Drosophila melanogaster: one gene and its partner. The protein of the gene in region 1 interacts with the protein of each later gene in a pairwise test. Each region holds a gene or a part of one and is shown on either strand. Other genes may lie near its edges.

Region 1 (5,429 bases):
TTCTCGGGCGTTAAGCTTGCCTTCAATTTAATCGCACTTTTCGCTGGCACTTTCACAAGCCCGCGCTCTCTCTTTTGCTTATTGTTCTCTCGCTGCAACTCTGCTGCTGCTGCTGCTGCGGATGGTCACTCTTAATTGGCAACTGTTTTTTATATTTTCTTCCTTTTTGGGCTTTGGGCAAGAGATTGCCTATTGCTATTTAGAATGTTTTCAAAACGCCAGAATGCACAACACAATAACAACAACCGAACTGAACAACTGAGCTGCTGCACAGAAAGCAGAACAGCAAAAGTGGTGGCAATAGTGGCGGAACAAGAAAAAAAATTATAAATGCGAGCGAACGAGAAAGAGAGAGAGGAGCAGCGCAACCAGGTGGCAACTCGCTCTGGCGATGATTTTCTACCCAACTGTACCACACACACACATGCACAGCGACCCTGTGTGTTTTTGCTTTTCTCGAGGGCTTTTTTCGGCGTTTTGCTGGCGAAATTCCACGCGATCGGCGACACAAATCGTTTGGCTCGACTGTAACTGCAACAGCTGAATGTGCGCACCAATTTGTATTTGCTTTCTGACACGATTAACACGATTATGATTGGCGCGCTCGAAATGGTTCGCTGTCGATGGAAAAATGGAACTGGAAAGAGAGGGGAGGATTGCTGTAATACGGTGTTGTATAGCGTCCGTCGGTCGGTCGGCCAGTGCTGCAGAATGTCTGCCAGCCCAACTGCCCCATCGGCCACAGACACCGATTAACACTGATTTTTCTAATTCTCAACTGTCCTCTTTAAATGGCATTTATTTTATTTAACATCAACAATTGGGCTACATCTACTTGAGGGCCGAGGGCTGTGGGCAGCGGTACTTGGCCATTTCCACCTCCGCCTCGGCGTAGCTAAAGCGATTGAAGCTGTAGTATTCAGGCACCTTGTAGCCACCGGTGGCGGAGGCACCTGGTCCAACGGGTCCGCTGCTGGGCTTCACGCAATTGCTGGTCAGTCCCACAACCGATGGCGAGGATGCGCCGCCCGATGGCGAGGATCCGGCTCCAGCTGGAGATCCTGAGGCGCTGGGTCTACCGCCGCCGGAAACGGGTCCGCCCTTGATCTGGCTGTAGCAGCGGCTGAGGGCTGGGCGCAGGGCACGTGAGGGCGAGAACATGTTGGACTTAATGGCTGGCTAGCTTGCAGCGTTTAATTCGCAAAAATAATTCACGTAATCACGTATCAACAAAGTGGACGTGTTGGGTAACGCGGAAAGTGCGCTTATTGGCGAGGAATATGGCAAGGCAACGTACGAGCGCGAAGCTGCCACCTGGCCGCAAAAATATGCATAAAATAAAAGTGGTCATATTTTAAATTGGTTTAAATGTTTAAATTATTATTTACACAGTTAAAGATGCTGGCAGTGCTGGTATAGTTATATATTATATAATTTAAGCCTGACGTTAGGGCTAGAATAGATAAATTGATTTTTAAACAGTGCCATCCTTTGACTAAGCTAGTTTTAGTATTTAACTAAGAGCTATATAAACAACTATTTTCTCGTCTTAAACTTGGGCTGCGCCTTGCCGTAGTGCTGATCGATGTGTGAAACGGGCGCGCGCCTCTTGTCGTTGCGCTCCTTTTGCGATTTTGTTCGGCATTTGACGCTGGCGGCGCCCGTTTGATTTTTGCCCAACTGATGGAACTTCTTGCGCTCCTCGCGAATATTCTTCAGCCGCTGGCGTTCGTCCTTCAGCTCCTTGTAGTTTTTGGAGGCCTTCTTCAGCGGCTTGGCGCCCAGCTTGATCAGCTGAAACATTTCCATTTTGCTCTTGTTTTTGATCACACGCTGGTTTTTGATCGCAAAATTGAGCACCTCGTGGCGCGCCTTCTTGATATCGAATTCGGGATTCAGTTCCATGCCGCCCTCCTTGGTTTTGTGCGATTTTTGGACGCCGTCGTCCTGCTTTTTTGTTCCACTTTTCGATTGGAAGTGCGATTCGTGGAAGACGTGTGCCTGAAATTCGGTGTTCTCCTGCTTCTTTTGCAGCGCCAACGCTGCACGCGTGGGCACCGGCTTAAAATCGGCGCTGACGTTCATTATGCTTTCAGTTTTCTGTGTTTATTTGCAGCAATAATAGTGAAATCAAAATATTGAATGCACATGTACAGTGCCAAAATGTACTAATTCCCACGTAACGCCTCGGTCCATCTGGCAGCGCCGTTTTTCATGAATGTTGCTTGTAAGGTGGCGCTTTTTAATGTCCTTATTACGTCACAAAATCTTTTTATTTCAAAATATGTTTCAGAAAAACTGCTCAGCTTGCAGTCTATTGCTATTTATTAAGTATACAATTTCTTTACATTAATTTGTAAAATTTCGTACTTATTAAAAGCATAATAAGATCTTATTGAATGGTCAACTATTATAATATTTAAAATAAATTTTTTGTATATTAAAAGACATTGATTTTACTCATTTTGCTTTTGCTTTCCGAGTCCGAATCCTCCGACCAAAAATCATCTGGCAAACAAATCGCTTTCCAGCCCATTGCGTCCGCATCGTCAGAGATGGAATTCTGCTCATCCAGCTGGTTGAAGGGACTGGCATTCAAAGGACCCGACCAACTCGCGACGCGACTAACTGGCGGTGGAATAAGGCAATCGGAATTCTCCTTCCGATACGTTCGAGCCTTCAGTTTGTTTACTGCGTTGGGCAATTGCGGTACAGGCACCTCCTCCTCGTCGTCGTCGGGCGATGAAGTGGAATTGGGCACATTTACGATGTAGCTAATGGGATCCAGGCGGATCCCTATGGTTTTCTGGGAGGATCGGCTGTGTGGTCGCGTCAGATGTGGATTGCCCTCTCGACGTCGCCGTGCGTTTCTATTTTCCGTCTTGAGCCTCCCGTTTGCCGACCTGCCGCCATTGATGACGCTCCTCGTGGATATATTCACCGGGGGCGACTTTCGCCTGGCGGCCAGCTTCTTCGGATGCGGAATCCTGTAGCGACCATTCGCGTAGTCATTGCGCGGACTGACGAAAATTCCAGCCAAATATTTAAGCATTTTCCAAGAAAGTTTACTAAGAATTTAAAATAATTGCAAGCGACGCATAAGCTCCGATTTTATTTCTGACGATCGAGAAATGTGACGGAAAAATGATTTGTTACAAAATTTGGAGAAGAAATTTTGGAAATGATTAATTTTATGGTTTTCAAATATAGCATAGTATAGCTAGGACACAAACCCTTGTAATTCCGCATAGAAAATAGTTGGGATGATCCGGCAACGCAGTGCGGATCGAAATAAAAAAGAAAACAATGCGCTCGCAAGAAAATTGAAGCAACAACAAATAGCCGATAAATCAGAGCCAAGGGACAAGCGCAAAATGGCTAGGAACACGGGCAGCTCCTCGGGCTCCACGCCCGCTGCATCCTCATCCGGATCGAGCGCAGCAGCAGCAGCGGCGGCGGCAGCGGCAGCAGCAGCGGCATCCAATGCCAAACAGAAGCAGCGCAGCCCGCGTTTCAGTTTATCCTCGAATTTGATCCTGGACAAATGGAAAACGATGATTGGTTGCGTTTGCCTGGCGATAGCCTCGTACTTCGGCTATCTGGGCTACCTGGAGACGCGCGTTAACACGCCCTTCGATCACCAGAAGATGGTGGTGCATGCCGGCCTGGAGCAACCGGATCGCTACTGGGGCTCCTACCGTCCGTTGACGTACTTCGGCATGAAGACCAGGGATCCGCACTCGCTGGTCATGGGCCTGATGTGGTATACGCCCAGTAATCTGGGCCCCGGTGGCCAGGGCATTCGACACTGGTGCGAGCAGGGCGATAAACTGGACTCGTACGGCTGGACGCATCACGATGGCCGCAGTTTTGGCGTTCAAGAGATCCAGGATCTGCCCTTCGAGCTGAAGACCTCGTTCGTTAAGTATCCAGAGGGCAAGCAGTACGGCGGCGATTGGACTGCCAGGATATCGGTGAGGAATACGACAAGGGCGTGGGACAAGAGCATCTCGCTAATCTGGTATGTGGCATTGGATGAGCGCACCAATGGACACATTAAGTACGTGTCGGACGACAAGAGTCCGGAGCCGGGCGTCTATGGTGAGGCGCAGGGCCTGGGCGAGTTCCAAGTGCGTTTCCATGCCGTCAAGGGCAAGATACTGCATAAATCCTATCTCAGCACGGTGGCACCGTCGCTGGCCAAGCTCAAGGATACGCTCTTCTCGCACTTCCGCGCCTTCGCCGACAAGCGTGGCAATCGCTTCATCGGCCTGCCCGGCGAGATAGTCTCGCAGAATGGCCTGCCATCCTCCAATCCGGAGCCCAATTTCATAGCCATACAGATAACGGCGGAGGTGGACTTCACGCTGGACATTACGTACCAGTCGACGTCGGGCTTTTCGCTTGGCGAGTCGATACCCAAGCCGCCGACGGGACGAGCCTATCAGGATTCGCTTCAGGCGAAAATAGCACAATTTGAGCAGCGTTTCGAGGATCGTTTCCAGCTGAAGCAGAAGGGTCACTCGCCGGAGGAGGTGCGATTTGCGCGCAACGCATTGAGCAATCTGCTTGGCGGCATTGGTTACTTCTATGGCTCCAGTCGCGTGCAATCGGTGTACACAAAGAATCCGGTGCCCTACTGGAAGGCTCCACTGTACACGGCCGTGCCGTCGCGTAGCTTCTTTCCCAGGGGCTTCCTTTGGGACGAGGGCTTCCACGGCCTGTTGATCAGTGCGTGGGACATCGATATCGAGCTGGATATCATATGCCATTGGTTCGATTTGCTCAACGTGGAGGGCTGGATACCCAGGGAGCAAATCCTGGGCGTTGAGGCGCTGGCCAAGGTGCCCGAGGAGTTTGTCACGCAACGGAATAGCAACGCCAATCCGCCGACGTTCTTTCTTACGCTCAAGAAACTGCTGACCAGCCACCGGGCGGAGTTGTCGCAAAACGGCAGATTGGCCACGCTGGAGCGGCTCTATCCGCGTGTCCAGGCCTGGTTCAATTGGTTCAACACCACGCAGAGGGGTAAGTCACTTAGCCACCTGCCATCGCTTTCTATGTGGCGTCTACTAACTAACTGCTCCATTCTAGGTGAAGTGTTGGGCACATATTTGTGGCGCGGCAGGAACGCGACCACCACGCGCGAATTGAACCCCAAGAGTCTGTCCTCCGGCCTGGACGATTATCCGCGCGCCTCGCATCCCACGGACAAGGAGCGTCACCTGGACCTGCGCTGCTGGATTGCCCTGGCCGCCGGTGTGATGGCCGAACTGTCCACGCTGCTGGGCAAGGACGATGCCAAGTACTACGAGACGGCATCGTACTTAACGGACAATGTGCGTCTGAATCGCCTCCATTTGGCGCCGTACAGCGAACAGTACGCCGACTGGGGCCTGCACACGGACCAGGTGAAGCTGAAGCGTCCG
Region 2 (5,453 bases), on another chromosome or scaffold:
CAATATTTTGCACCGTGTAAAAATGAAGCTTAGAGTGGCACTGCGGTTCTGGCCACGCTTCTGACCAAATTTGAAAGGGCTGTCCGCACCGTTGAGTTAATGAGAAGAGACAGAGGTCGAGAGGAGAAGAGAAAAGGACGAGAAAAAAGGATAGACGGGAGGCCAAAAGGGAGAAAGCCGTCGACAGACATTTTATGTGCAACCGGCCGAATTGTTAGAAGAACGGCCAGTCTAATTGAAGCGAACTCAAGCAATTAGTCGATGAATTGAAGCAACAAAAGTGCTGGAACGGAGAAACGTATAAATTTAGATAAAGCTGAATTGAAAATAAGTTAGATTCATCAGTTTTCCGAGCATGGAAATTTATGAGGAACCTTAAAGCCAGAAAAGAAACTCGATTAACTCTAAAAGGTATACAGTATAGTGATATAAACCAAGGACTTGGAAACCGAAAACGAGTCAATTAGTTACATTAATAAATTCACACTTAAGATTTTAGTATGTATCCAAAACTAACCGAGCAAAAAAAAGCTTTTTGGTAAAGCAACAACTCGGCTTTTTACCATCGAAAATCAACCGTATCAGAGCTAATGAAAAATTTTTCCCATATTAATTAGTAGCCTAGTTTCCTATCTATTCACAAACTCCGAATTTTCCACTCTCGGTGATTCAAAGTGGGCTGAATTTTTATGACGCCAACTTAGTCATCGCCATGCTGTCTCGGGGACTATGAGTAATTTTCCGCTGGCAAAAATCGTGCCTCCAAGGGCCGGAGTCATTAAGTGCAGACCGGGAATTAACAGACAAATAAAATTAATAAAGAAATAAAGATAATGCATGAGAAAGATGACGCCAAGAGCAGAACGGGTAACTAAAGCCGACCGATTTAATGAAAACAATTTTCCAAATTTGGCAAAACTATTAACCACGCTACGTTAATTTCATTAGCAAGTCTGTCTTTCTTGTTTCGGTGACCGTATTTTATTCACATACACCAAAAAGTACATCTATGTGGCAGCCATTAAATGCGCTAATTAGTTGGTCAATTAGCGTATGCTTTACTGGATTGTTTTTGGCTCTTTGTTTGTTGGCCCAAAGAGGACGGCTTTTTGGGTGGCGGAGCGTCAAAATCACAGTCACCATCGCATTTTGGACGTCAGCGGTTCAATCGCCCAACTGTCGCCACATTAATAAATCAGTTTAATTTAATTCAGTTGACAGCTTTAAGTCAATATTGTTGATTAATTGTTTTCTTTTAATTTCGGTTTTTTTTTTGGTTTTTGGTTTTGGTAACCTGCAGCTGTTGCCAAGGGGCAAATGAACACTTCACCGTTCATTAACAGCATTTCATTTTTGTTAATTAGCTCACTTTGGATCCATAATTCTTGTGCACATTGGACGGGTTTCCCGGCTTCAGGTTTTAAATGGAAAATAAATCGAAACCCTATTGTTTTAATAATTCATAAGCGGCAGTCAGCTTAATACATATATATGGACTATTTTTGCATTTAAGTTTAATTATTACATAAATACAAAAATTTGTAATTTTGAACATTCAATTATCATGCTTTTATTGCTAGGATTCAGTATGATTTGAGGAATCAGTTTCAGATTTTCTAATCTCGTCTAGGGCATCGCTCCAGGACATGAAGGCATCCGGATCATCCTCGCATTCACTCTTAATTCTCTCCGATTCAGAATTTTCGAATTCGGCTAGTTTCTGAAGACGAATTTGCATACGGCGTTCCACTTCCTCAGTGCTACTAGGAATTCTTTTTATAGGATTATCCCTGCCGAAAAAGGACGACTCACTTTCCGAAGGAAATGGTGAGTTCCTCGCAGAGATTGGCGAATCGATGGTGCTGAGATCACTGACACTGGCCGAATAATGGCTAGAGTTTATATCAAATTGCCTGCCTGAACAAGTAAATAATGAAAAGCCATCTCCAGCTGCCTTTGTCGGTGGTTCGGGTGGCAATTGGCCTATTTTGGCCATAAGACAACGACCACGGCACTTAAGCTTATCCATTTTGAGCAGACGAACGAGATCCTCGCGGGAATCCATTTCCACATACGCAAATCCCTTGGGTCGCTTTCCCTTCTTCGGAATGGTTAGAGAACGGATCGAAAAACTGGTGAACACTTTCCGCAACTCGCCTTCAGTGCACTCCATTGGCAAATTGCTGACCAATGCCACAAATGGTGGTTCCATTGACACCTCCTCTTCCGGATCGGGTGTACTGACCTTTTTCTGCAGATCTGAATTCGATTTTTTGGGCCCGTCGCCGTACATGAAAAGCTCTGCGTTGTCCACCTGGGAAGTTCGCACCTTTGTCACGTGCAACATGTCTTCCAATCCTTGCCCGGATTCGCTGCCGGAGACCGAGGACACGGAAGAGGAGCTGACTGGTGGCAGCTTGAAGCTACGCGATGACTTGGACATCTTTGCCATCAGTTACCAACAAATAAAGAATATATGTATTATTGATATAATGAGAACGTGGGTGTATTTTCCTTGAAAACTGGGAATGTTTTCTGCTACAAAAAGCAATGCCAATTTCGGCACAAAAATGTTTCTGTGTACATTAAATTTTACAACTATAAGTAAAGGAATTATTGAATTATGATGATTATAATTTTATATTAAACGAATCTTTTTGAATTGTATATATTTCTAGCTGCTAATGAACTCGAATTATTGATTCATCAACTTAAAAATGAAAAAAGATATGTCTTAAATCCTGATAAAATCATGATTGTTTTACATAAAGCAAGCTTTATACTTCATTTTCTCAGCATAAGTTTCATTCTTGAATAATAAATTGCTTTTTTCGCGTTCTGTCAATGCATAATTATAGTTGGTTGGCCAGGCAAAATGCTCGATTGAATATTCCCAGGCTGCGGATCGCATTCAGTGCAGCACCTGCTCCACAGATTCAGTTATACACATATATCGACCATCGGACTAGACAAATGCCAAGGTTCGCGGATCCCAACTGGCAACTATCGGCGTCGGTTGGAAAATATCAAAAGTTCAGCAAACAAGTGGCATGGAGTTGAGTTAGGAGTTTCGTAGTTTGAGTTTGAGTTTGGCTAATGCACGGATTGTGTCGTTTTCTGTTTGCTATTTGTTAGTTTGGTCGGTACGGTTGGTTTGTTGGGTTGGGTTGGGCCGAAACGAGCGAGGATGGAAGGAGGTTTCCACATTAGGCAACTGGCAACGGGCTACACCCATATTCCGTGGAAAATTGGGTGCGTTGGCCAAACACAAACTAAGGTAAACTGATAAAAATCATGGCCTGCAGCATGAGTGCGCCAGTACGAGTGTTATGGGCTTTCGGGCCAAGTAACCCAGCCAAGTGCCTGTTGCCCAGGGGCCTCGAGCCACACTCGTAGTACGTGTCTGGGACCGGGTATTACCAACAGACAGCGGACAGGCTAAAATATTAGGCCAATTATATTTCAAAAATTTACATGACGATGAAGTTGACGATGCCTGGGTCATCTATAATCCAAGCCATAGACAGAGAGGGTTCCACTTCCACACGAAAGAAATCCACACTCAAAAACATGGTTATATCATAAACATCAACATTTAGAAATTATAACATTGAAAATGATAGCCCTATATACATATATTATTATTCTAGATTAATATTAAATTAAATTGTATATATGTATATTATAATTACCATATCTCATAGAAGTAGCAAATATTTCAATATTCCGTAGCTTCTGCAAAAAGGAACTTCTCTTTTATTCATTCATTTCTTTTTTTCAGTGCAAGTACAGTGTGTACACGAAGGAAGCGTCAAGTGGCCTCCGCCTTCACGTTTTTTTTCCACACTATCTTGATGCTCTCACCACGGAACGTGCACGGGCATAAGTACGATGTCTGGAGAGCTACTCGTATCTGGGCACTAGGATCGCTTTCAGCTACATGGAATTTTCTTTCTTTTCGCTTAATTTCATAGAAACAGTCTGAATGAAATGTGGCAAAGGTGCAGCGAAGGTAATTAATTTCGAGGATTAGGCATTAGATTTTTGGCGATAGCAACGTGTCCCATAATTCTCATATCGAGGGGCCAGACGAACACGTCCGTAGACCCTATCTATCTACAAGGCATCTTTAACTCTACCGTCTCCTTTGTGGGTCACCAGAGGGCAACACATCGAAATTAATAATTGAATAGGGTTGTATGATTTGGATTAGGTGTAAAAAAGAACTTGGATTTGAGGTGCATATCAAATAAGGTTCAGTACCAAGAATGGTATCTCATGCATAAATATGTCATCATTTTAGACATAACTAATATGGAAACATAATAAACGGAATAATATCACAATTAATAAGCGGTTTTAAAACTTTAAACTTACAATAAATAAGTAATTACTCGTCGCCTTTTTAAAGTGTTAATTAGCTTTAGTCTACATCCCTTTAAACATCAAGTCAAAACAAAAATCGTAATTTCTTGATTGTGTTCGGTAATTGATGGAAAATCTGAAGAAGGGGCGGTACCAAAATGAAAACCGTCATCAGGTAAATGCAATTAGCCCCCAACTTGGATTTTGATTGATGTATTTCGAATGAGCTGCGCCAGGAAAATTAATTAGCTTTAAATTATGTAGGTAGCCCAGAGACTGAAGAACTGGCGGCCTGGCCACACCCAAAATCATTTCCCGGTTCTATTCCGAGCTTCGAATAAGCTCGAGCACCTTATTAATTAATCAATTGGCTTTGGCAAATTGTCTCGATTGGAGCAATTATCATGATTTGGTTAAATGCAGCTTATGGTGTGCTGGAAAATGCTCATTAAGGGGTTCAACAATGGGGATAACTAATTGTTTATTTACTCCCCTGCTACCCTTTAAATATTCAAGTGCATTAAAAAGCTAGCTATGTGCTGTTATGGTGGTATTCAAATCAAATCTTTTGGTTCGAGAAACATTATCGTAAGTTTGGAGTATTATAATTCTGCCAAAAAATATACCCCTCAATGAGCAGATATTAAGTCCATTGAAGTAGAAATAAAATGATTTTAAGAATCTATCATTGGTAATTTATTTTCCACGATGAAGACACTTTCTTAAAAGTTTGAATGTGGGCAATTTATTCCCTCTGACAATCACAACCATCCCATTGAATTACCTCGACTTCCAACCCCCATTTTATAATCTTTATGACTATCTCATTTGTGCCGAAATCATGGCATAGATGACTACTCCCGGTATCGAAATCAGAAGTCGCTCCACCGAGCTGCGCCAAAATTGACAAATGCACGGCCTGAGCAGGCCTGAAATCGGAAAATTTATCAATCCGAGGGTTTTATTTTCACGCCGGATCTGGTCCGCATCGAACCGAGCACCGGGAAATAATATGACTTTAGCCACGGTTATCAATAACCAGGCAATCGATATTTTATGAAAATTGATACGCCGCACACACAGCGGGG

What was found. Proteins that work in one complex are often made in the same cells at the same time.
Region 2: the proteins of CG1738 (region 1) and CG11726 interact in a two-hybrid assay, tested with the Drosophila melanogaster proteins (one large-scale study listed by BioGRID).

The regions. Positions count from the first base shown.
Region 1 is NC_004354.4:11,345,828-11,351,256, reverse strand, and holds CG1738 (uncharacterized protein), read right to left. Parts: upstream 2,209-5,429; 5' UTR 2,086-2,208; coding exon 1,537-2,085; 3' UTR 1,410-1,536; downstream 1-1,409. Other genes in the region: NdufV3 (NADH:ubiquinone oxidoreductase subunit V3), read right to left, coding at 832-1,161; CG11756 (uncharacterized protein), read right to left, coding at 2,441-3,052; GCS1 (glucosidase 1), read left to right, coding at 3,375-5,028, 5,095-5,429.
Region 2 is NT_037436.4:11,391,770-11,397,222, reverse strand, and holds CG11726 (uncharacterized protein), read right to left. Parts: upstream 2,534-5,453; 5' UTR 2,453-2,533; coding exon 1,577-2,452; 3' UTR 1,550-1,576; downstream 1-1,549.